Linked DNA regions of Schizosaccharomyces pombe. The gene in region 1 interacts genetically with each later gene. Each region holds a gene or a part of one and is shown on either strand. Other genes may lie near its edges.

The links.
Region 2: mutations in ppk14 (region 1) and tif310 together harm fitness more than expected from each alone (negative genetic interaction), as found in Schizosaccharomyces pombe (one large-scale study listed by BioGRID).
Region 3: mutations in ppk14 (region 1) and nup61 together harm fitness more than expected from each alone (negative genetic interaction), as found in Schizosaccharomyces pombe (one large-scale study listed by BioGRID).
Region 4: mutations in ppk14 (region 1) and pex8 together harm fitness more than expected from each alone (negative genetic interaction), as found in Schizosaccharomyces pombe (one large-scale study listed by BioGRID).

The regions. Positions count from the first base shown.
Region 1 is NC_003424.3:768,700-773,166, forward strand, and holds ppk14 (serine/threonine protein kinase Ppk14), read left to right. Parts: upstream 1-1,840; 5' UTR 1,841-1,923; coding exon 1,924-3,624; 3' UTR 3,625-3,967; downstream 3,968-4,467. Other genes in the region: SPOM_SPAC4G8.04 (GTPase-activating protein), read left to right, coding at 1-1,049, 1,113-1,391; tRNA 4-demethylwyosine alpha-amino-alpha-carboxypropyltransferase Trm12, read right to left, coding at 3,974-4,467.
Region 2 is NC_003424.3:1,440,462-1,446,232, forward strand, and holds tif310 (translation initiation factor eIF3j (p35)), read right to left. Parts: upstream 2,721-5,771; 5' UTR 2,668-2,720; coding exon 2,655-2,667; intron 2,612-2,654; coding exon 1,800-2,611; 3' UTR 1,509-1,799; downstream 1-1,508. Other genes in the region: zf-CCCH type zinc finger protein, Prp19 complex subunit, RNA-binding Cwf2, read right to left, coding at 1-82; F1-ATPase chaperone Atp11, read left to right, coding at 648-1,508; calmodulin Cam1, read left to right, coding at 4,469-4,471, 4,598-5,047.
Region 3 is NC_003421.2:729,493-736,454, forward strand, and holds nup61 (nucleoporin Nup61), read right to left. Parts: upstream 3,750-6,962; 5' UTR 3,730-3,749; coding exon 3,611-3,729; exon of another isoform or gene 3,559-3,610; coding exon 3,260-3,558; exon of another isoform or gene 3,212-3,259; coding exon 1,980-3,211; 3' UTR 1,379-1,979; downstream 1-1,378. Other genes in the region: dom34 (translation release factor eRF1 family protein), read left to right, coding at 1-186, 243-349, 398-1,030; ism1 (isoleucine--tRNA (Ile) ligase), read right to left, coding at 3,929-6,850. UniProt on the Schizosaccharomyces pombe protein: Functions as a component of the nuclear pore complex (NPC).
Region 4 is NC_003424.3:3,908,983-3,915,356, forward strand, and holds pex8 (protein Pex8), read right to left. Parts: upstream 3,642-6,374; 5' UTR 3,623-3,641; coding exon 3,561-3,622; intron 3,519-3,560; coding exon 3,035-3,518; intron 2,983-3,034; coding exon 2,846-2,982; intron 2,803-2,845; coding exon 1,758-2,802; 3' UTR 1,553-1,757; downstream 1-1,552. Other genes in the region: proteasome core particle subunit alpha 5 Pup2, read right to left, coding at 407-586, 650-752, 891-1,332, 1,371-1,389; SPOM_SPAC323.04 (ATPase), read left to right, coding at 3,791-3,934, 4,115-4,499, 4,562-5,073, 5,120-5,542; eRF1 methyltransferase Mtq2, read right to left, coding at 5,623-5,808, 5,856-6,142, 6,184-6,245, 6,285-6,374.

The DNA.
Region 1 (4,467 bases):
ATAACAAGCCTCTTTCTCTTTCATCAACAGCACCTTCGATGCCTTCAATTGGTTCTGTGGAGTTGGGAAATATGATTCCTAAGGAAACCCAGCCGCCCTCAATGCGAAATGATTGGAAAGATTATTTAGATAATAATTCCAAGGAAATTCTCGATCAATTTGGTTTTTTACAAAAACGACCAAGTCACGACACCCCTTTATGTCCGGAGGACATAAAATTAAATCAGAAACAGACTCTGTCGTTCTATGAAAGCAATTATGGCTTGGTTGATGATTTTTTTGGCAACGAGTTAGATGGGCTCAACGATTCTCCATTGTTGCTAAATAAAAAAGATATTTTATTGGATATGAAAGAAAGTACCCGACAAAAAAACTGGAGCTTGTTTTTTCAACGCTTGTACAAAAAATATAAAATTACCGATGAGGATACAATTGGTTTACTAGGAATATCTAGCATAGGTGTTAAAGGGCGTCATGGTAAAAAAAGATGGCATAAATTTCGTGAACTTGTGAAAAATGGTGTTCCTTTGTGCTATAAAGCTAAAGTTTGGTTAGAGTGCTCAGGCGCTTATCAATTACATTCACCTGGCTATTATGAAGAACTATTATCACGTACTGATGAGGTTGAATCAGCGAGTGTTGCGCAAATCGATATGGATATTAACAGGACTATGGCTAAAAATGTATTTTTTGGAGGAAAAGGACCTGGAATCCCGAAATTACGACGAATTTTAGTTGCTTATAGCCGCCACAATCCACACATAGGCTATTGTCAAGGAATGAATGTTATTGGTGCCTTTCTTCTTTTATTATATGCTTCAGAAGAAGACGCGTTTTATATGCTAATGAGCATAATTGAAAACGTTTTACCTCCGAAATACTTTACTCCTGACCTGATGACTTCGCGAGCTGATCAGCTGGTTTTGAAAAGCTTTGTGAAAGAGTCATTACCGGAAATCTATTCCCATTTAGAATTACTTGGGGTTGATTTGGACGCCATTTCATTTCATTGGTTTTTAAGTGTATATACTGATACACTCCCTACGAATGTACGATAAGTGGTTTTGAAAGATTATTAAAGTATGAATTGTTTACTAACTACTTTTTTTTAGATATCTTTTAGAATATTTGACATGTTGTTTTGTGATGGTTATGTATGCTTATTTAGAGTTGCACTTACGATTCTAAAATCTTTAAAGCAACAAATTTTAGCATGCAATTCCTCTTCTGCCATCTACTCATTTTTGAGTGATTTGGTTCAATACTCTTTTCAACCCGATTCGTTTATTAAAGAGGCTGCTGATCGGTGGTCCAAACTTGTTACGGAAAAGAGTATTGAACGGAAACGTAACTTGGCTATTTCTTCGTTAAACTTAGCGGTCAATTATTGAGTTCTTTGTTTTGTTTTACTGGTTTGATTCGTGATCGTTGGTAAGTTATGATCTTTAATAAATAAAAAAGCTTTTTGTTGCCTCATGGGCATCTTATTCATTTTTATGTTGGGTTACTCATGAATATAATTTTTTAATGTTTTCCATCACTGTATACTATGACTGGGTTATTTTAATGCTGTTTCAGGAGTCCATTTCATTATAATTTGGAAGTATAGAATGTAAAATCTTTTTTGAAAACTCTTGTATGAAGCTAGGCAATCCATGCATAACTTTCACTTATAGTTTTTGATTTGTTTGGTTTAATAAACATAGACAGATTCTTGCTCTTCATATATTTTCCTGTATGCTATATAAACATTGCTCTTACGGTTTGTGAGGTACAACGATCGATAACGCAGTCGGTTATATTTCTAGTATATCATAAGTGTCAGTGTCTCAGTAATGTCATCCGGTGTACTTTCCGCCATACACAAAAATATCAGTGGAATTGAATTGTATTGCGACCGACTCGTAGCACTTTCAAAAGCAAATGAATGAACTTCATGATGGTGAGAGCTCTGAGGAAGGAAGGATCAATGTTGAAGATCACCTAGAAGAAGCTAAGAAAGATGACACAGGACACTGGAAACATTCCGGCACTGCCAAGCCATCCAAGTTTCGAGCCTTCATAAGGCTGCATTTTAAGGATAGCAGAAAGTTTGCTTTTTCTCGAAAGAAGGAAAAAGAATTGACGTCGGAAGATAGCGATGCTGCAAATCAATCACCTTCTGGTGCACCTGAGTCGCAGACCGAGGAAGAGTCTGATCGCAAAATTGATGGCACTGGTAGTTCCGCAGAAGGTGGTGACGGGAGTGGTACTGATTCAATTTCCGTAATAAAAAAATCGTTTTTTAAAAGTGGGAGGAAGAAGAAAGATGTTCCCAAGTCGCGAAATGTTTCTCGTAGTAATGGTGCTGATACCTCAGTTCAGCGAGAAAAGTTAAAAGATATTTTCAGTCCTCATGGGAAGGAAAAAGAATTGGCTCATATTAAGAAAACTGTTGCAACGAGAGCGAGAACATATTCTTCCAACTCTATCAAGATATGTGATGTTGAGGTTGGTCCATCTAGCTTTGAAAAGGTTTTTCTACTTGGCAAGGGAGATGTCGGTCGAGTTTATCTTGTTAGAGAAAAAAAGTCTGGCAAATTTTATGCCATGAAAGTTTTGAGTAAGCAAGAAATGATTAAACGCAACAAAAGCAAACGAGCTTTTGCAGAACAGCACATTCTTGCGACAAGTAACCACCCATTCATTGTTACACTTTATCATTCTTTTCAATCTGATGAATACCTTTATTTATGTATGGAGTATTGTATGGGAGGTGAGTTTTTTCGAGCTTTGCAACGACGTCCTGGCCGTTGTTTATCAGAAAACGAGGCCAAATTTTACATTGCAGAAGTTACCGCTGCATTAGAATACCTCCACTTGATGGGATTTATTTATAGAGATTTGAAGCCTGAAAATATTTTGTTGCATGAGTCAGGACATATTATGCTTTCTGATTTTGATTTATCTAAACAATCAAACTCTGCCGGTGCACCAACGGTAATTCAGGCCAGGAATGCACCATCCGCTCAAAATGCTTACGCATTGGATACAAAATCATGTATCGCAGATTTTCGCACAAATTCATTTGTCGGCACAGAAGAGTATATTGCTCCAGAAGTTATCAAGGGTTGTGGTCATACAAGCGCTGTTGACTGGTGGACTTTGGGTATTTTATTTTATGAAATGCTATATGCCACGACTCCTTTCAAAGGTAAAAATAGAAACATGACTTTTTCGAATATTTTACACAAGGATGTTATATTCCCTGAATATGCGGATGCTCCTTCAATTTCCAGCCTTTGCAAGAATTTGATTAGAAAATTATTAGTGAAAGATGAAAATGATCGCCTTGGGTCACAGGCTGGTGCTGCAGACGTGAAGCTTCATCCTTTTTTTAAAAATGTCCAATGGGCTCTATTAAGGCACACTGAGCCTCCGATTATTCCAAAGCTTGCCCCTATTGATGAAAAAGGCAATCCTAATATTTCCCATCTAAAGGAAAGTAAAAGTTTGGATATTACTCATTCTCCCCAAAACACACAAACAGTTGAAGTTCCCCTATCTAATTTATCGGGTGCAGATCATGGAGATGATCCCTTCGAATCGTTTAATTCAGTTACTGTGCATCATGAGTGGGATTAGGTCATTTTCTTTTCTTCCTGTAACTTGCATATTGATGGTAATTTTTCGCACGTCTATGATATTTTTCTCATCTTTTTGTTTAATCAATCCATTATTAAAAGAGCATTTGCTGACTTCATTCATTGCATATATTGATACGTTGTTGAGGCACAAAATATTTCGCTTAACTAGATTCTCCTTTTCACCACAAAGTCTTTCTTTTTTCTACCTTACTTTTACCAGATTCAGACATGCTTTCTCTATTTTCAATAGGAAGTTAAATAAACTTCTAGACAGAATATAACATATACCATTCTAATAACATATTTTGTAAAATAACCAAAAACCACCTTAACAAAATTACCATTAACTAAACCGTCTCTATATCGTAAACGATATGTGACACTCGTGGTGAAAATGATTTGACACAATTTGTAACACAAACTGTATTTTTAGCCAACATTTTTGAAAAACATGAATTCACTTCAGAAGAGTATGTTTCGATATCTTCATCTTTTACGTTCTCATGAACATGTATAAAGGAATGTGATTCTCGCTTTAAAATTGAAGTAGCGGTTGACCAGGATTTTTCACTAGAGGGGAGCATTCCCAAATTTATATGTCGAGCAGAAATATTCATTTTGGAGAACCTTTCAGCTGCATAAACGTTGCTTTCCAAAAAAACTACAATACGATGAGTTCCTACTTTAAATTCATAGTTTTCTCCATTTCGAACTACATAAATAGACCAGCCATTTTTCAAAGCAGCTCTCCTTAACGCTTCAACACTCCATGGATTAATTTCCCAGCAAAAAACTGTTGAAGCTCCCGCTTTAACGTAAGAAAATGTAAAGTACCCTATAC
Region 2 (5,771 bases), 670 kb from region 1:
CCCCCTCTACCAAAATCTTTTCTGTAACATCGTTATTTTTTTCCTCAACAGTGACTTCTTGTTCTAACCCATTTTCTGACATTGTTTTTGAAAAGTTAAGTCTAAAAGGGAAACGATGAAGTATTTGCAGGTTTATGTCGTACAGTGCGTTAATGTTCTTAGTGAACTATATATGAATTTCGTTACTTCTCGTTACTCTTTTTCATTGTAATCTTGCGAATTTAAATACTTTGATTTAGATAAACAAGAGCATTTTAGTAAATTCTTGCCTAAAGATCCTACTTTTTTTTTTCTTCTATTTAAGTACTAAAGGAATTTTCTTATTTGTATATGCCTGTTTTTTCTGGATAGGAGGTCACTTTAGATATTAAACGCAGGCATGAACAATTTTGTAGTTATCTCTTTAGATACTTTTTAAAATATTTTTTTAAAGCAAAATATTAAGAAAAATAAATAGTTGAAATGAACGGAGTTTGAAATCTAAGATGTAAAGTTAAATAACTAGAACATTTTATACTCATAGAGTGGTATTATTTACCACTAGCAATATACACGGATACACATTAGTTATCGCGATTCCACAGATCTCTTTTTCTTTTTAATTTTCATTTTTGTCAATTCTCTTTTTTTAATTCATTTCATCTAGTATGCTTCCCATATGGAAACTTCCAGTCAATCATTTACTTTGCCATTCTTTTAAATCTATTCCAAGAACTTCTGCTTATGCGGTTCGTTTTGCGCATCACACATCAAATAACGATGATTTGGAAGTTAAGAAAAATACTGTTTATGAACGATATGAAAGAAAACTAAAATCTAAGGCTGAAGAACTTCACATGCCCGTTACAAACCTTCTAAAAAAGGGGCAAACGAAAGAAAGAGAACATGTTATTCCCAAAAAATCTTTTTCCGCAAAAAAATCATTAGTTGGGCAAAATGCTAAGAAATCAGACTTAAGTGGGCTCAATCGTTACATAGATGTTGAAAAAATCAAGGAACTTCCTACTTCGACTATAGAAAAATTATGGAGGGCAAGAAATATTGGGGATGACATTTTAAGCGCTTGCATTCCCAAAGAAATTTACGAAAAAATGTTAAGTAGAGCAAGAATGTACCCATATTTCGTGCTCCCGTTACCGAGAGGTGATAAAGGGATTGAAAGTCACTTTCTTCAGTGGAATTTTCCAAATAAAAATGAAGCTCATCTCCTTGTGACATCCTTACTGGAGTATAAATTGAAGGGATCTTATGCTGCTCCTCATACTATAATGCTTCATTTTGCAGACTTACTAAATCTTAAGGGAATAACACTCATGCGGTGCCAATTCGAACCAAAGAAATTATCGGCAAACGATGTGCAGCTTCTGGTTTTGGCAATTCAAAAATTTTACAATGCTTCCGAAAATACACCACTTGGCAAAGAACGACTCGCACTACTTGCCGCATTTAGTAAAGGTGCGGATTTTGATCTTCACAAAGTGGCTACGCATATGGATATGTTGGAATGAAAACTGTAAAACATCTTATTTCTGAATTAGCCCGCATGTTCAACGTTATCTATGATTAAATTTAAGAAATTTGTTATGCGATGGACATTTATATTCCATTATAAGCTATCGTATATTAATAGAAGAAAGAATCAAGAATGTAACAAGTGCAGAACAAATTACTTTCCCAACCATCGGTATCGTTGGTATCGTAAAGAAGCCAGACAGTCTTAAACATCCCCAACGCATAATCCGTTTACAGAGAAATAAAAAACAATGTATACCAAAAGACCCAGTATAAAACAAATCGGCTTACATGAAGTCATCAAAGTCATCCGCATAGTCATCATACTCATCCTCAATGTAATCTTCGTAAGCGGACTTGTCAGCAACGGTTTTTTTAGAATTAACATTGACCGTAGGTTTTCCTCCTTTCTTAGAAGGAGCTGCAGTTGATACTGGTTTGGCAGCAGGAGCAGCGGCACCTCTCTTAGATTGAGTTTTTTCTTGCTGCTCTTTGTTGACTACAAGTTTATTCACTGATTTCTGAACTGCCTTCAAATTGGTAGCATTAAGGCCGGTAAGCAATAAAGGGATTAAATCTTGCACAAAATTATTATACTCGGCAGTGGTTTGACAATTTTTAACCTTCTTCAAAATATCAGCTTGGAAAGCTGCATAGTCGGCTTTTGTTTTGAGTTGTCGTTGATCAGCTTGCTTGGAGCGGTTTGCACTTGCTGAGTTTTTATCAACGATGTCAAACAAGTCCATGGCATTTGCCAAGTCAGAGTCAATTTCGGCTTGTCGCATAGCTTCTTTGGAACTTTCTAGTGATTCTTCCTTCGCAGCTGCTTCACTTGCTTTAATGGCTTTTTCGAAATTTCTTTCCTGAATTTTTTGTTGGATACGAGTCATTTTGTTAGAGCCTTGATCATTTTGGCTAGATGAAGAGGATTTTTGGGATACTGAATGAGAATCATTTTGCAAGGATTCTTTGTTTTCTTCTTCATCTTCATCCTCTTCGTCGTCAAATCTCTTTTTTGGCTTGGAAGAGGATTGACTATCCTTCCCTAAGGGGAAATCAAACTCTGCAGGCTTTGCAGGATCTTCTACTAAAAAGTCCTCTTCATTTCAGTTAATAAACATGTAGAATCATATATAGCTTACCCCAGCTATCCATTTGGAATTCACTTGATGGTTTTTACAGTCTACTAAAAAGGTATGTGGTTCAATAAGGAATTTATTGTAGTTGCACAACAAAATTACGAGATGAATTGAGTAGGAAAATATTCAAACACACGTACTGATAGAGTTCAACAATAAATACTTTAAATTCTCGATCATTCTTATTATTTTATTTTTTATATGTTTATTTTTATTTTTATTTTTTTATTTTTTTTCTATGAAGGATATGAGTACCTCGAATTATTAAAAGTTAAACTTCCCATTTCACAGCATTTTATTAAATCAATTGAGATTTATAAATTTGAATCTTTTAAGGAATTATACTCAAATTTTCATGGTCATTCTGTAGAGATGTCTTTAAACAGGAAGTGCAAAAATTTAAAATTATGAGAATAAACTATAAAATCTTTAAAAACAAAAGACGTCTAAATTTATGATTATTAAAGACAAAAAAATGCTCAATTTGAATTTATTTTTTTATTTTTTTTTGTGTTACATCAATAACAACAAATATTGTTTATTCGATTAAAATATCCGTTCAGACTAAAATCAATAAATTCGGCTACGGTCATTGTATCAGATGTTGAGGTTCTGGATTTTTATACATTGAATAAATCATTTAGAAAAGAATTAATATCGAAATATATACAGGCAATGAAATCCTGCTTGAATAATATATTGTTATTTACTTTTTCAGTTTTCCTTCTTCATTTGAGTGTTCAACTAGAAAAATTATCAGATCAAAATTGGCATATACAAAAAATACAAAAGCAGATTATGCTACACAACAAAAATGCAATTCATAATAAACGTGCAAAAAAACCTTTTAATGAACTGCACTTATCAAAAATGCTTTTGTTTAGCAAATTTTTCAAAGCTATGTCATTTTGCTCAATTATTTGGAGACTTTAAACCGTGACAGTGTTTGTAAATCTGCTCAATAATTAATTTTCCATAAATCAAAATGAAAACAATATTTTCATATCATGAATAATAATATCACTAACTCAACCTCATAGAGGAAAGTGAAAAACACGATTTTCTGTTTACATTCAGCAAAAAATTGCGCTGTAATAACCATTTCCAAATACTGCATTTACAAATATTTTTTGTTAAATCCTTTTGCGATTTAAACATCGAGTACGATATATAAGTTGAATGTCGACAACGTTCCGTTGCGCTATAGCATACTACGTTGTGTATCACTAATTATCACATGTTTGATTTGCTCTGTCAAGCTGTACATGATAAGTTACTTAGGTAGATTACTAAGAGTTATAAAATGAATAACAAAAAAAATAATAGAATGCTTAAATTTTATGAATTGAAATAAACAAAACCTCGTTTCTCTATTCACTTTTATGCTAATTCGGTGATAGGTAACAATATAACCTCTATATCAGAATATCATTCTAAGTTACTAAATGTATTTACCTGTGTACCATAATACAATAGGTCACAAGTAAACCACACGGCAGTTCTAGGTGTCGTTAAATAGATACCAATAAATGCGTAGCTGACATTGAAAAAGTTCCTTCATCCGCCGTTTAGTGGTTTTAGTGCGGTTTATAGCAAGTACGTTACTGGTTTGTTAGAGCATATACGATAATGTAATAAACTCTCATTGTTTGTTGACATCACTGTTGATGGTAGGACTTGCAACATTAGGAAGCGACAACGGTAGTCCTCATTTCTCCAAGGCACTTTAACGTAACTAGAGCAAAACACTAACCGCCAAAAATAAAGGTTAAAAAAAGGAATAGAAGGACTTTAGAGTTACTGATTTTTACCAGAAAATGGTATGTTTATTATATTGTTTGGACATATTCCGATTTTTCCTTTGAAGATTGACTAACAATCGTATGAACGGATGACACTCAGAAAATGATTTCTGAAGTCGTCTACCGTATCGTACATTATTACAGACTACCCGTAACCTTACAGATGAGCAGATTGCAGAATTCCGTGAAGCCTTTTCACTGTTTGATCGTGATCAGGATGGAAATATCACGTCCAATGAATTGGGTGTAGTTATGAGATCGTTAGGTCAATCGCCTACTGCCGCCGAATTACAAGATATGATTAATGAGGTCGATGCCGATGGTAATGGCACAATTGATTTTACCGAATTTTTGACTATGATGGCCCGAAAAATGAAGGATACCGACAACGAAGAGGAAGTTCGCGAAGCCTTTAAAGTCTTCGATAAAGATGGAAATGGATACATTACAGTCGAGGAGTTGACTCATGTGCTTACAAGTCTTGGTGAACGTTTGTCTCAAGAAGAAGTAGCCGATATGATACGTGAAGCCGACACCGATGGCGATGGTGTAATCAACTACGAAGAATTCTCTCGTGTCATTTCTTCCAAGTAGAAGGGTTGGAATTTCTGTGGAATATTTGTAAGCCTTAAAAAAATCAAAATATCCTTGCTGGGGTTTCCACCCTTTTAGTTCTTCTTTATAACCACTCTCCATCGCAATTTGGACAATCTCTTTACCAACTTAACCTCGGCTATTGTCCTTTACTTTTTTTTTCGTCTATGATTTTGAAAAACATTAGTTAGTGTATTACAACGTTTTGGTTGTTTATTTTGCTGGCCTAGGTGTGTCACAAAAGTAACTATGGTAGCATTTGTTGTTACCATTCATCTCATGATCGATCCTATGAATTTTAACGCTTCCTTTGTTTCAACACATAAAGGAATCCTTAAGTCTGGGAACATATACGTTATTGCTATGAGAATACCACGCACTTTTGCATTATTGCATCCTACAATGAATTATTAGAAGCTTCATCTGTCTGTTATATGATGCATTTGCTCGTACTAGTATGTGCCTAGTACTCGCTGTATACGTTGCATTTATGTCCTTGCAATTCCCATGCCCATTATTTAGCTCAATCTTCCTTTTCTTTTTTCCTTCAAGATTTACTGTTCATTATACTAGTCGATGTTAAAATTTTTAGCATTTTTCTAGTTATATGCACTTCTTGAAGCCGTTTTCTCACTCTGGTAGATATACGCTTTGTTTTGTACTTAATACATTACTTTATACAAATACATCTCTCAGTATGAAATTTTGTGCGGCACTTGTCGAA
Region 3 (6,962 bases), on another chromosome or scaffold:
TCAAAGGACGGACAACTGAATACCATCCTGAAGTTAAGATGGGATCCTACCATACCTTGGACTTAGAACTACATCGCAATTTTACTCTATATAAAAATGAATGGGATGCATTTGCATTGGACCGTGTAGATGCTGCTTGTAATCCTTCAAGAAATGCTGAAATAGGTGCTGTGGTTTTAGATGAAGGTAAATTTCTTGGCTTACATCGCTTTATTAGTTCGTGCATGTTTACTGACTTGCAGGTCTTGCCAATATTTGTCTCATTACAGATTATATGACCATCCTGCGTCAAAGGATTGATCAAGTGATTCCAAGGAAACGGAGAGGGGACAGCAGCGCTTACCAAAAGGTAAATTTTTAGACTTTGATTTTTCGTCCGTACTGATCAATTTTTTAGGGCCTTGATAAATTTTATGACTCTGTTTTTCAATCCATTAACTCAGAATTTGATTTTGATAAATTGAAAGTCGTTATTCTTGCTTCACCAGGATTTGTGGCTCGAGGCTTGTATGACTACATATTCAGCATGGCCGTGAAGTTAGACTTGAAACAAATTGTTAAATCAAAGAATAAATTTGTCATCCTTCATTCTAGCACTGGTCATATTCATTCCCTTAATGAAATTTTGAAGGACCCTGCTGTTGAATCAAAACTAGCCGACACAAAATACGTACAAGAAATTCGCGTTCTGAATAAATTTTACGATGTCATGAATGAAGATGATAGAAAGGCATGGTATGGTCCAAATCATGTTTTGAAGGCTTTTGAACTTGGCGCGATCGGAGAACTTCTGATTAGCGATTCTCTGTTCAGGAGTTCTGACATTGCTACTAGAAAAAAATGGGTTTCATTAGTAGAAGGTGTTAAGGAGATTAACTGTCCTGTTTATATTTTCAGTAGTTTGCATGAGTCAGGGAAGCAGCTGGATCTGTTGTCAGGTATTGCCGCCATTCTCACTTACCCAGTCGATGAAGAGGATATATCAGAAGATGAAGAGGATGAGGAATCCCAAAATTTTGAACATAGTTAAAGTTCATCAGTATCCGAATTGTCATGAATCTAATTATTGCTAAGCCAATATTTCATACTTTAAGCTCGGTTAGAACAATTTGTTTCATTCTCTTAAAAAATTTATTTATGGGCTCGTTTTGGTAGTCATTATTTATGCTTTTACTTGGATGTTTTAGGGTATTTACTATGATAAACATGCAAAAAATTAGGTGTTAGAATGGTCAAAAATTGATACCCTAAAATGATTTATACTTATCGATTATAACTCTTAACTTGTAAAATTAAGCTGTTAATTATAGCCGGTCCAATACAGTATTCAATTACAGTAAAAAAATCAACTTTAAGCGATAAATTCGCTACAAACGTATTTGTTGAAGTTACTTTTTTCAAAAAACTAACAATTCGAAATTGATAGTGGCTCATTTACTTGCTTATTTTATTAAAAGTTCGCGCCAAGATACTTATTCAATAAGGGGGTTTGACCCTTCTAAAAGCTAGGCAGGTGTTTGAAAATCCGGAACCAATATATAGACAAAAGTAATTTAATAACGAAACCGATTATTGAATCAATCAATTCAAGATATATCACTGGCGATATACAACAGTTTTAAAATTCACTCAAAAATTTATCAATCATTCATAAGATGAAAATTAGGATAATTAAATCAGTTCCGTAAAACTTTGATGTTCTGCGTAAATTTAAAAAGAAAAGATATGACTAGCTTAACCAATTTAATATTCCATAAAGGCAATGTACTTGGAGAGCATGTATGCTTCCGGGAATTTCATATTTGTATGCACATTTCGTAAAAGACTGATTGTGTATATCCCTATCCACAAATGAAAATCGAATGACAGTATTAAATTGATAATCTTGACAATATATTTCCGAAAAATTTATTAGATTTATGTACATTTAATAGACCAAAAATAAAGGAATAAATAGTGACTGAATCAATCACTGCTTTCTAGTTCTCTGACTTTGAGACCTTTTTCTCATTCAATTCGGCTAATAACTTTTCCGCAGTACTAGGCTCTTTCACACGAATCAAATACATTTCAATTGATTTTCCATCAGTAGAAGCAGCAGGTACTTTTACGTCCTTTTTACCAGCCAGGCTGTATTCAAAATCCTGGCACAAACGAACGTTTAACAAAAGTTTTCCACTTCCCTCGACACGCGCAAGGATGCGAGCAGAGCCAGTGTCACGATCTACGTTAATTTTTAATGGACCAATCCCGATATCAGAATAAGATTTACTAGTAGCATCGAAACGGTATATCTTGGCCCTTGTCTCAAATACGCTGTCTTCATTTTCTTCGCCTTTTCCTTTACCAGAAACTAGAGAATCATTCGATCGAGTTTCATCATTTCCGTTTTCCTTTTCTTCTTGCTCTGATTTGTTTCCATTAGAAGTTTCTTCACTTTTTTCAGCGCCAACAGAAGCTGGAGTAGAAGAAGTAGGAAAAGAAGATTTCGGAGCAGCAAAAGAGAACGGATTAGTAGTAGTTCCAAATGAAAAGCCGACAGCCGCAGCGCTAGGAGGCTTCACATCCGAAGAGGCCGGTAACTTTTTGCTCGATAATGGATTGGTAAATGTAAATTTTTTCTCAGGTGTGTCAAATTTGATAGGCTTATCAGGAGTCCAAGAAAAACTCATAGTATTTCCCTTGGCAGGTTCAACGGCGTTCTCGGATTTTTCATTGTTCGAGGGTTTAGATTCTTCGCTCTTTGAATCTTTAGTTTCATGGGTTTGTTTGGTCTCTTTTGAAGCATCCGCAGAAGCCATAGTCGTTGAGAAAGAAAACACGGGAGTTAATGGTTTTGATTCCTCATTTTCCTTCTTAGCGAAAGCGAAAGGATTAGCGGCAGTATTGAATGAAAACTGGTTGGTTGTGGTAGCGGCAGTACCAGTGGCAGTTTGATTAGAAGATGTTTCTTTCTCCTTCGCTTCCGCTTCTGTTGCGGACTTCTCACCAAATGACCCTTTAGGAGTAAAAGCCGATGAATTAAACTGGAAAGAGCTACCAAGCGCTGGAGCAGAAAATCCGAACCTAGGAGCACCGGGGGGAACAAGGGGCTTCTCCTTATCCTCTTTTTCTGAAGAAGCTGGTTTTTCTGTAACAAAAGAAGAAGAATCTTGGCTTTTTTGTTGCTGAGGATTTACCTCAGACACAACAGCATTTGAAGTTGGTTGTTCTAAGAAAACGTTAGAAAGAAATGAAGTACTAACTATAAACGCATTACCTTCTGCTGGCTTTTTTTCTATACTTGAAAAATGCTGCCTGTATTCATCAAACAGAGGGCTCAAATTACCAAAGGGATTATTGTCAACACTTTTGATAACAGCGTCAATAAATGATTTATTAAGACCGCGTTTTTTCAAGTGAATATCTGAATCATTATTAGCTGTAACCGCGGGTTTTCCAAATGTAAATTGCGTAGTCGATGCAGGTAAAGACACCGGTTTTGCTGCCAAATTTGCAAAAATTCCCGGAGAAGAAACACCGCTCGTTGGTCTTTTTCTAGATTTTGGCTTTGCAATTCTAATACATTAGTACCTAAAAAATTGAAGAACTATGTTTCATCGTTACATACTTTCTTGTGGCCATCACGTCTGCGGAGGCCTCCTTAGGAACTTCAACTGGACCATGACGGTCATCATCAGAATCATCTTGATCCTTAGTTAACTGATGATCAGCACCGCGTTTTGACATTTTGCTAGTTTGCGAAGGTCAACTGTTAGCCCCAAAACCACCCAAACTTATGGCCTTCACTATGTCTCCTTATTTACTAATGTTACAGTAAAATAAAATAATACAAAAAATGAATTGTCGCTTGATTTTAATTAAGTATTACAAAAATAAATGACTATGGTACAAAAATTATCATAATAAAGAGCGTTCAGCTTTTTTCTTAGCGTTTCAGTTGGGCCAAAACAGATTCGCATCTGTCACATAATCCGTCCTCATGAGCTGTATGCATCCAGCAACGTAGACATTTTTGTTGATTTGAAAAAAATAAAGAGATATTTGCAACCCCATAATCCAACTGAACTTCAGGTTGTGTAACGGAAGCTAATTTCAGATTTTCGGGAATTTCGTTAATAAATACCTTCGATGTATTGAACAGAAAAGGAAGGTCGGAAGAGTAATTTTTTAAAAAACTCAATAAAGATTGAGATTTTGACTTAATAACGACATAAGCTTCTAATGAGTTTTTAATAGTTAGATTTTCACGAGCTGCGGTAATCAACAAATTAATACTATACTTAAGTTGTTGAAGAACCAAGTATTCCTTAATTAAAAATTTTCTATCAAGTAAATCAACTTTTGACCTTAAGCTGCTTATAAGATGTGTTTCTCCAGCGTGAAAAGGAGTTTGGTAAGAAGAATTCAAATAACTATCGGGTAAGCTTTGCCAAATCTCCTGTGCCAAAAGTGGAGTAATGGGAGAAATGGCCCAAATGAGCGTAAGTAATGAATGATAAAGGACAGTTTGAACACTTCTCCTAGATACACTGTTGGGTAAATCAGCGTACAGACGATCCTTTACGGCGTCAAAGTATGTAGAGGATAAGAAAGAGTTCATAAAATAATTGAGATGATGAACAACTTTGTTAATTGAATATGATTCATAAAGTTCTCGAATTTCAGTCTGAAATTTATCTAGTTGGACTAAAGCCAACTTATCAATACCACGTAATTCACCAACATCAACTGAGCTCGAGGTATTCCAGTCATGTAAGTTCCCAAGACAAAATCGGGATGTTAATCTCCACTTTTTTAAGGATTCACCAACTTGCGTCAAAATGTTCGGTCCCAGGTTAGTATCATTCGTACTGTCACATGATGCAACCCAAAGTCTCAGTAAATCAACACCATATGGAAGCTTTTTTCCTTTTAAAAGCTTTCCGTTTATTACATCTTCAGGGTCGGTTACATTGCCCAAAGACTTGGATTGTTTCTGACCTCTTTCATCAAAGATAAATCCGTGCGTAAACAAAGTAGAAAACGGTGCTTCTGGTTTTGATTGGTAGGCAGTGTATGTGAGAAGAAGTGACTGAAACCATCCCCTGTGTTGATCGCTTCCTTCCAAGCAAAGGTCAATGAGCGGTTTATTCTTACGAGGTGCTATTGTAGTCCAACTAGTCCCAGAATCAAACCATACATCAAGTGTTTCAGTGCCACGAATATACTCCTTATTTCTGTAATCCGGATGAACCCACTGAGCATGCCCATTGTTTTCAGTATCATTAAACCAAGAATCAACTCCCTCTACTTCCATTTTCTCAATGATATAGGATACACTTTTCACAGTTAGTAGGGGGATTTTAGTTCCTTTCTCATACAATACAGGAATGGGTAAACCCCATGCCCGTTGGCGAGAAATGCACCATTCAGGACGGCCATTCAAAAAACCAAGAAGTCTGGCGCGCGAATTTGGAGGAATCATTTTTACACTATCAAGTGCTTTTATGGCAGTTTTCCTTTCATTCTCCAATGATATAAACCATTGAGGGGTCGCCCGTAAAATTAATGGCTTATGTGTTCGCCAATCGTAAGGGTAGCGGTGCTTATAAGGAGAGACCTTAACAATCATATTTTGATTTTTCATAATACTTATTACTTTCTTTCCTCCATCACCAAGAACTTCCAATCCTTCAAGGCTTCCATCCAAAGCTTCTTTAGTGTATCGACCATAATCATCGAGTGGTGAAAAAGGACGCAAATTGTTTTCCAGTCCTAGAAGATAATCTTCCATTCCATGGCCAGGAGCGACATGTACTATACCAGTACCGATATCATTAGTAACGTAGTTAGATTGTAAAAATGGAAAGCTTTGCTTCGGTAATAGAGGGTTCTCATATGTAAATGATGAAATAATATCTGAAGGGCAACTCGCAAGACGCTTAGCTCCCTGCATAAAATCCAAGTTTGGAACTAAATTATCAGACATTAAATAAATCGAATTATTGTGCTGGTATAGACCATAGTTGATTTCAGGGTGGTAAGATAATGCAAGGTTTGAAGGAATGGTCCAGGGAGTTGTTGTCCAAACTAATGCCTTTACATTATTGTATTCACATCCATCGATAGAAAAACTGTTCACCGGAAACGTAAAGTAGATAGACGTGCTGACGTGATTATCATCATATTCTATTTCTGATTCAGCTAAAGCGGACCTGCTTGAAGAGCTCCAATAAACAGGTTTATTTTGACGAAATATAAGATCCTTTTGTAACAAACTTAAGAAAACCTTAAGCTCTGCTATTTCAAATTTGTCACTCATGGTGATGTACCTAGAAGGCCAATCTCCCATTACAGCCATACGTTGGAACATCATGAGTTGTTCTTGAACGGCCGAATTTGCGAAATCTTTAGCAATCTTTCGAATTTCAAGAGAACTTTTACGCTCGGCGTTTGCTTTAATAGCTTTTGACTCGATTGGTAAACCATGACAATCCCAACCAGGAACATAATGCACAGAACGGCCTTTCAGCAATTGCCAACGATTGATGATATCCTTCAAAATCTTATTTAGAGCATGACCTATATGCAGTCGACCGTTTGCAAACGGAGGCCCATCTAATAGCACGAAAGAATCTTCTTTATTCAAATTCTCCTTCTGCCATTCATACAGGTCTGATGTGATGGATTTGAAATACTTTTCATTATTTCCTTTAACGTTTGGCTTAATAGGAAACGAAGTCTTTGGCAAGCATAGTGATTCTGAATATTTCTTCAAATCCGCCTGACTGCTGAGAAACCTACCTGCTTGTTTACAACAAATGTGGTTATGGCCTTTCGGCAAACTGCTTATATATGAAAATTTCATATGTCCGACGATTCCTTATAATCCGAGCATAAAACGAATATAGGAATGAATGTCGACCAAACTGGGAATTGGTAACCTCGTGGGTACGGTCCCAATTCCGTATATTGTACTG
Region 4 (6,374 bases), 3.1 Mb from region 1:
AAACGATCAGAATTTTGATTTTATTTACTGTATATATTTTTTTTTATTGGAAATTGGATATTTTATGACTTCCCACGATACAAACCATATGAACCGATAAATCGATAAAATTTGACTTAAACCTGGAGACTAGTACAAATAAAAGCTGTTTATTAGCAAAAGGTTCATTTAAAGAAAAGATACGTTACATATACTGATATTACATATATGGTTAATCACAATTAAAATACAATAAACAATCAACCGAACAAACACAAAAACGGTTAAAAGATGAAAGGAATACATTTCTAATCATAGATACTAGGAAAAGGATAAAGGTGATGGCGAAACAAGTCTGTAGAGTTATGTAACATTCGACTAATCATGCTTTATTTGGTAATATTGGCGGAATTTAAATCATCATAGGTTAATCCATTCTTTGCTGTTCACGTGCTACAGCATCGGCCATTTCCTCGTCATTATAGATGTGAAATCCACCCTCAGCGGTAACTTTGGCAAGTTGAACATTTTTGGAATCAAGCTTTTCTTCCATTACTTGTCGAAGTACTTTGAGAATCAATACTTCAGCTTCCTCGAGAGTCATATCCTGAACGACATTGTTAGTTTAACAAAAAAGGAAAAAGATAAAGCAAATAAAGTTAATACGTACTTTGTGAAATTCCTTCACTAGTTCGCTTTTCGCGGGTTCACTACCTGAACCAATAGCTTTAGCTTCATAACGGAAATATGTACCTGAAGGCTCAGAGTGGTATCTGTATAGGAAGTTAGCATCTTAACGAATTACAACAAAAGGAATCCAAACAATGGCAGGTGTACGAAGATAATCAAAAAACAAAAGCATTAACACAATAGCCACATCGTTCCATAAAAATAAAATAATTTTGACTTACAGTTGAGGACCATGCTCATCTATTCCAGCAATTAACAAAGCAACACCAAACGGTCTTGACATGATGCGTTCTTCGCCATCTTCTCCTTCACCAAAGCGAAGTGCGAGATCACAAATTGACTGGGTAGTACTTTCTATACCTTGTGGTTCATCATAGGTAAAACGATGATTTTGTGTTTGAACTCTAGCATGTTCAATAATTGTACGGGCATCAGCTGTTAGGCCTGAAATTGCGCAACCAATGTGTGAATCAATTTCAAACAGCTTTTCAACAGAATGAGATTCCATAAGTGGACTAGTTAATCTCTTTTCAACACCAAGGACGACGGCATCCTTAGTTTTCACACCAATAGCAGTGGATCCTAATTTGATGGCTTCGATTGCATATTCCACTTGAAACAACCGGCCTTCAGGAGAAAAGGTATTTACTCCTCTATCATATTCTAAAGATTAGCTTAAGAAACTTGTACAGTTTACTTACCTGATCTAGTCATAAACATTTTTAAAAGAGAACGTGTAAAGTAGTAGTTGCTGACTGACCAAAACCCAGCCAAATGATAATATCGTTAATATTCCCTATAATACGTTGCCTAATATATCGTAAACCAGATTATTCGTTACACTCCGTTATTAGTGAATATAAAAATTAAATAAAAATATGTACAGAGGAGAAAGGTAAACAAATGTTTATAATAGGTATATTGAAAATAATAATTCGAATTTGAAGATAAAAAAAAAACGAAACTGACTAATATACACGTTTCATGTTACAATAATTGATATTGTAGTGTAACCAAAAACAATCCAATAGCTCAATAGCTTTGGAAAAGAACGGAAAATATTATCCTTCATCTAAATTATAGAGTTTTTAAACTGCACGACCTACGACAATAGATAGCCAAAAGGATAGCAAGGAAGTAGCGTTTTGATAGGGCATTTGACGAATTTGGGAAGATACAAGGAAAATTAAGTCTTCTTTGGTTTCAGTTGAAAATCCTTGAATTGAATTCAAATAATTGGATAAGAATTGCTTTTGAGCAGCAGGAGCAAGAACACTTACTAAACTGATTGAAGCTTTATAAAAAATAAGGGCGTTGTCAAATTCATATCGTATAATTGGCTGAAACCATTTCAATAAAACATCTGTGAAATAATAAGCTATTTCGATGTTATAGTATAACCTTACTCTCGAGCAAAGGATGCTCTTCAGAGAGTCGAGATTCAACGTTTTGGTAAGCAAGAAGAGACACCTAGCATGAACATAAATGTCATTGTCTAGATAGTCTTTTGGAGAGCCCTCATTTAGATTACAAAAAAGACACGCATACAGCGACGCGTAAACATAATGTTTGCATAATGTAGATTCGTCAGATTGAGATATAAGTTTTTCAGCGAAACTAAGACCTAATGATGATATTTCTTTAGCAGTGGAGCTTAACGTTATAACTTTCTCGTTGACTGTTTGCTTTTCTAAACGTCGACATATGAGATTTTGCCAATTATTGATAAAACTCAAAGTTACCAAAACTGGAGAGCCTGATAGCTTTTGTAAGTCTACATATCCCTCGAGTTGAATTGAATCTATAATGGCTTCCCGCACAGTTTCCGAGATAAACTTGGCTGGTTGAGCAACACGACTCAAGCATGTTGTTATTACAAAATCCAATGTAGACCATGATGATGCAACAAAAGAGAATAGATACTCCATATGAAACAAAGTCAAAATAATATACTCACATAAAGATCGGTCTGCAGCCAATACATTGCTTTTACGGTACTGAGATTTTGCCAATGATTCTAAAACCATAATTATTGAGAAAAAATTTTTTTTAACAAACTGATGGTCATTATATTTAGAATCAGAGGAACGACTTTTCCAAGAGGGAATCGCCTTGTCAATTAGAGTTATTAACCTGCATCATTTAGTCTTCCAGAACAGTGAAGTCAAACACTAACCTTTTAATAATGCTGATTTGCTGATAAGTTGATAAGCGTAATAACAGATGGCACAAAACAGCTGTAGGCAAGGAATCCCGCTTGTGTTCAGTATCCAAATAATTGATGAAACCGCTCCAAACAATTTCTTCCCATTTCTGAGACAATTAGTATAAAGTTTTTTGGAGTTCTATATTTACTGCTACTTACCAATAAATGAGGGAGTAACGAAAATGCATCAAAAGAAATATCGCTCGCTGATGAATCGACAGATGCAAAAAGTTGTTGCAGTAAAAAATTGGCTTCAAATCCTGAAAATTGATGCGTTTTTATCTGTTTTGATAAAGCTTTGCTAACTGCTCTTTTCAAGGGGTATTGTAAGTTGACGATATGATCGCAACTCAATAGTTTGTAAAAAACGCAAAGGAGACAAATTCTTCGAAAGCAAAGAATTTCATTGCTTGCATCTACCTCAAGAATGCCTACAATGCTTTTCACGAAGGATGAAAATGGCAAACCGTTATTCGTTACCTTTTTCCTGCTTATCAATTCAACCCAAAATGCAAAGTATTCAGAACGATGCTCATTCCAATAGTCCCATATTCTACCGCAAGCAATCAATTGTGCTACCACCAGTCGAAGGTTCTGTTCATTATGTAAATTGAGTAAGACATAGTGTGTCTCCCATAGGACACTTGGATTGTTAACAAAATGGATTAAAAACCACCGGACTTACGTTTCTAAAGATATCGAGTCCTCTCGTAACAGAAGAAGCACGTTGTTAATGGCTTCTTCCATAATTAAAACGCAGTGTTCTGGAAGCCTTATTATCTTTCGTACGATCACTACCACAGAATCAAACTGCAACTTATAAATTGACTTATACGGAGTTTTCTCATTTCATTAATTACTTTAACAATCACCATATAAGCTGCTGAGCATATAGCGGCGGCCATATCTTGCAGCATGGCGTCTTTTGTCAAATTTGCCAATACGACATTCTTAGATGCGCGATTTCCCCTTTTCAAGAATGTGTCTTTTGAACTAGCTCGAAAGCAAAATTGGGCCATTATTGGAAACACTGGAAGTGGTAGGACTACATTCTTGCGCGTATGTTTTGTAATTTATGCGAAGTGTTTGGAGTAAAAATGCGCTAAAGCTTTAGCAATTCATCAAATTTACTAAATCAGCTTTGTACAATTCATTTTTGTCCCTTAGTCGGAAACCAAACACTTTTTATTATCATTAATTACATGGTAGTAACTTTACTAAATTGCTAACTCAATACAGTGTATACAAGGTTCCTTTACACCCTCACCCTCCACTAGTTTTTCATATCCATTCTTGAAAGGCAAATCTGATAGCCCATGGCAAGCAATCCAATTGCTTGATTTTAAAAGTTCTGGACAGCAGCGTGCCGCATACTACTCTGAAAGATATCATTCCTTTAGAGACAAAGAACATGACACTACATTGGAGAAGTGGCTTTTGGGCGCTTATCGAGGGAATGAGAAGTTTGCTTCTCAACATGTACAAGAGGCCGCATCTATGACTCAGTTATCTCATTTACTTCCTTCGAGTTTAATAAATTTGAGCAATGGACAATCTAGAAGAGCGATGCTTGCATCGAAACTTGTGCAAAGGCCGCAGCTTCTTTTACTTGATGAACCTTACGGTACGCTGGCCACTAAGGGGTGCAATTTATGTTAATACAATTACTAACAGTATTTTTTTTAGCTGGACTTGATGTTACTTCAAGATCTGTTTTGTCTTCACTTTTAGGTGAAATGTCAAACCATTGTTCGCCAAAGATTGTACTTTCCTTACGTCCTCAGGACAAAATTCCCGACTTTATCACACATGTATTGGAATTGAAAAATAAAAAAATCACATATCAAGGGCCCAAGGAACAGTATATTCCTATGACCAGTCACTCAACTAACATACCTGTCAAGCCCCAGATGAAAAAAAGCAAGCCTATTACAATAGGCAAGCCTTTAATTTCCATGGAACATCTCAACTGTGTTTACTGGGGACGAAAAGTACTCTCTGACATAAATTGGACTATTAGAGAAGGAGAAAGATGGGCTTTAACAGGTAGCAATGGAAGCGGTAAAACTACACTTTTAGCATATGTAGTTGGAGACCACCCCAAGTTATTTGCTAGCAATATTAAATTTTTTGGAAAAAGCATTGGGCCCGGCACTGGAATTTCTATATTCGATATCCAAGAAAACATAGGGCATTGTGTAAGTCTATAAAAGTAAATAGTCTTTAAAACTAACGACTTTTTAGTCTCCAGAGATACACAATCATTTCCCGAAGCAACATACATGCTTTGAAGCTCTTCTTAGCGCCTGGAGCACCACCTTTACCATCCCAAAGTTAACCGAAACTCGGTTGGCAGCAATTAGTAGCATCTTAGAGGAATTTGAACTAAAGGATATTAAAGATAAACCATTAAGCAGTATCTCGGTTGGCATGCAGAGATTTATTTTGTTTTGTCGTGCTATTGTCAAACAACCTCGCTTAGTTGTTTTGGACGAGCCTTTCCAGGGAGTAGATACCAAATATGTCCATATGGCGCATAATTACTTAAATGAAAAGCTCTCTCCTTCCCAAGCCATGGTTATAATTTCTCATTACGAAGATGAACTCCCTGCCTGCGTAAATAGAAGGGCTCACATTGATAATGGAAAACTTGTCATACATGCTTGATGATGAACATCCCTATTGAATGTGTATAATTCTTCGACTCCTTTCTAGGATTGTTTTTTGATTGACCCCAAAAATTTGAATTATTCATCCCAAATTGTATTACCAATCCGATAAATTCTTAGAATACTTAGTGTTTCACGCCCAGCTTTTCTTTTTAAAGTCTCATTAACAATAAACCCATCCTTTTGCAATATTTCACAAATAGAGTGTAACTTATTGCGAGCAACTGCAACCATGTAAAATACTCCGTCTTGTGAAAGTATATCCTATCCATAAATGAGTTATTAATGTAAATATAAAGGTCTGACCTTACCTTTAATTGGTTTAACAAAGTGCTAGTGACATCCATACCATCGGTACCACCAGCCCAAGCCGAAGCAATAGTAGCAGCTTCACTTGGTATTTCTTCGAACTCGGTAGGAACATATGGAGGGTTGAATATTAAAATATCAACTCCATTCCCGAGTCTAATTCCGTCAAGGAATGAAGTTTGTACGGTAATGAACAACCCATTATCGTCCTTATACAACTCACGATTATTCAGAGCAGTTATCTTACTAGCACGACACGCAGAATTTGAGATGTCGGACATAAAATGAACTAGACATCAGCATATTATATTTTGTGGTTTGCAACCGTACCAATTGGCTTGTTTTTCAAAATCCCACTTTTTAAAAATGAGGATGCACAGCCAGATCCGCAGCTGCAGGTTAATATCTTCACGATTTAACCAAAAACCTACCCAATTTCCGCTGTTAATAAGTTTTTCATTTCAGCCATTTGGCGCAATTTTTTGGCATCCTTTTCAAGCGCATCGAGCAAAGCAAACGTG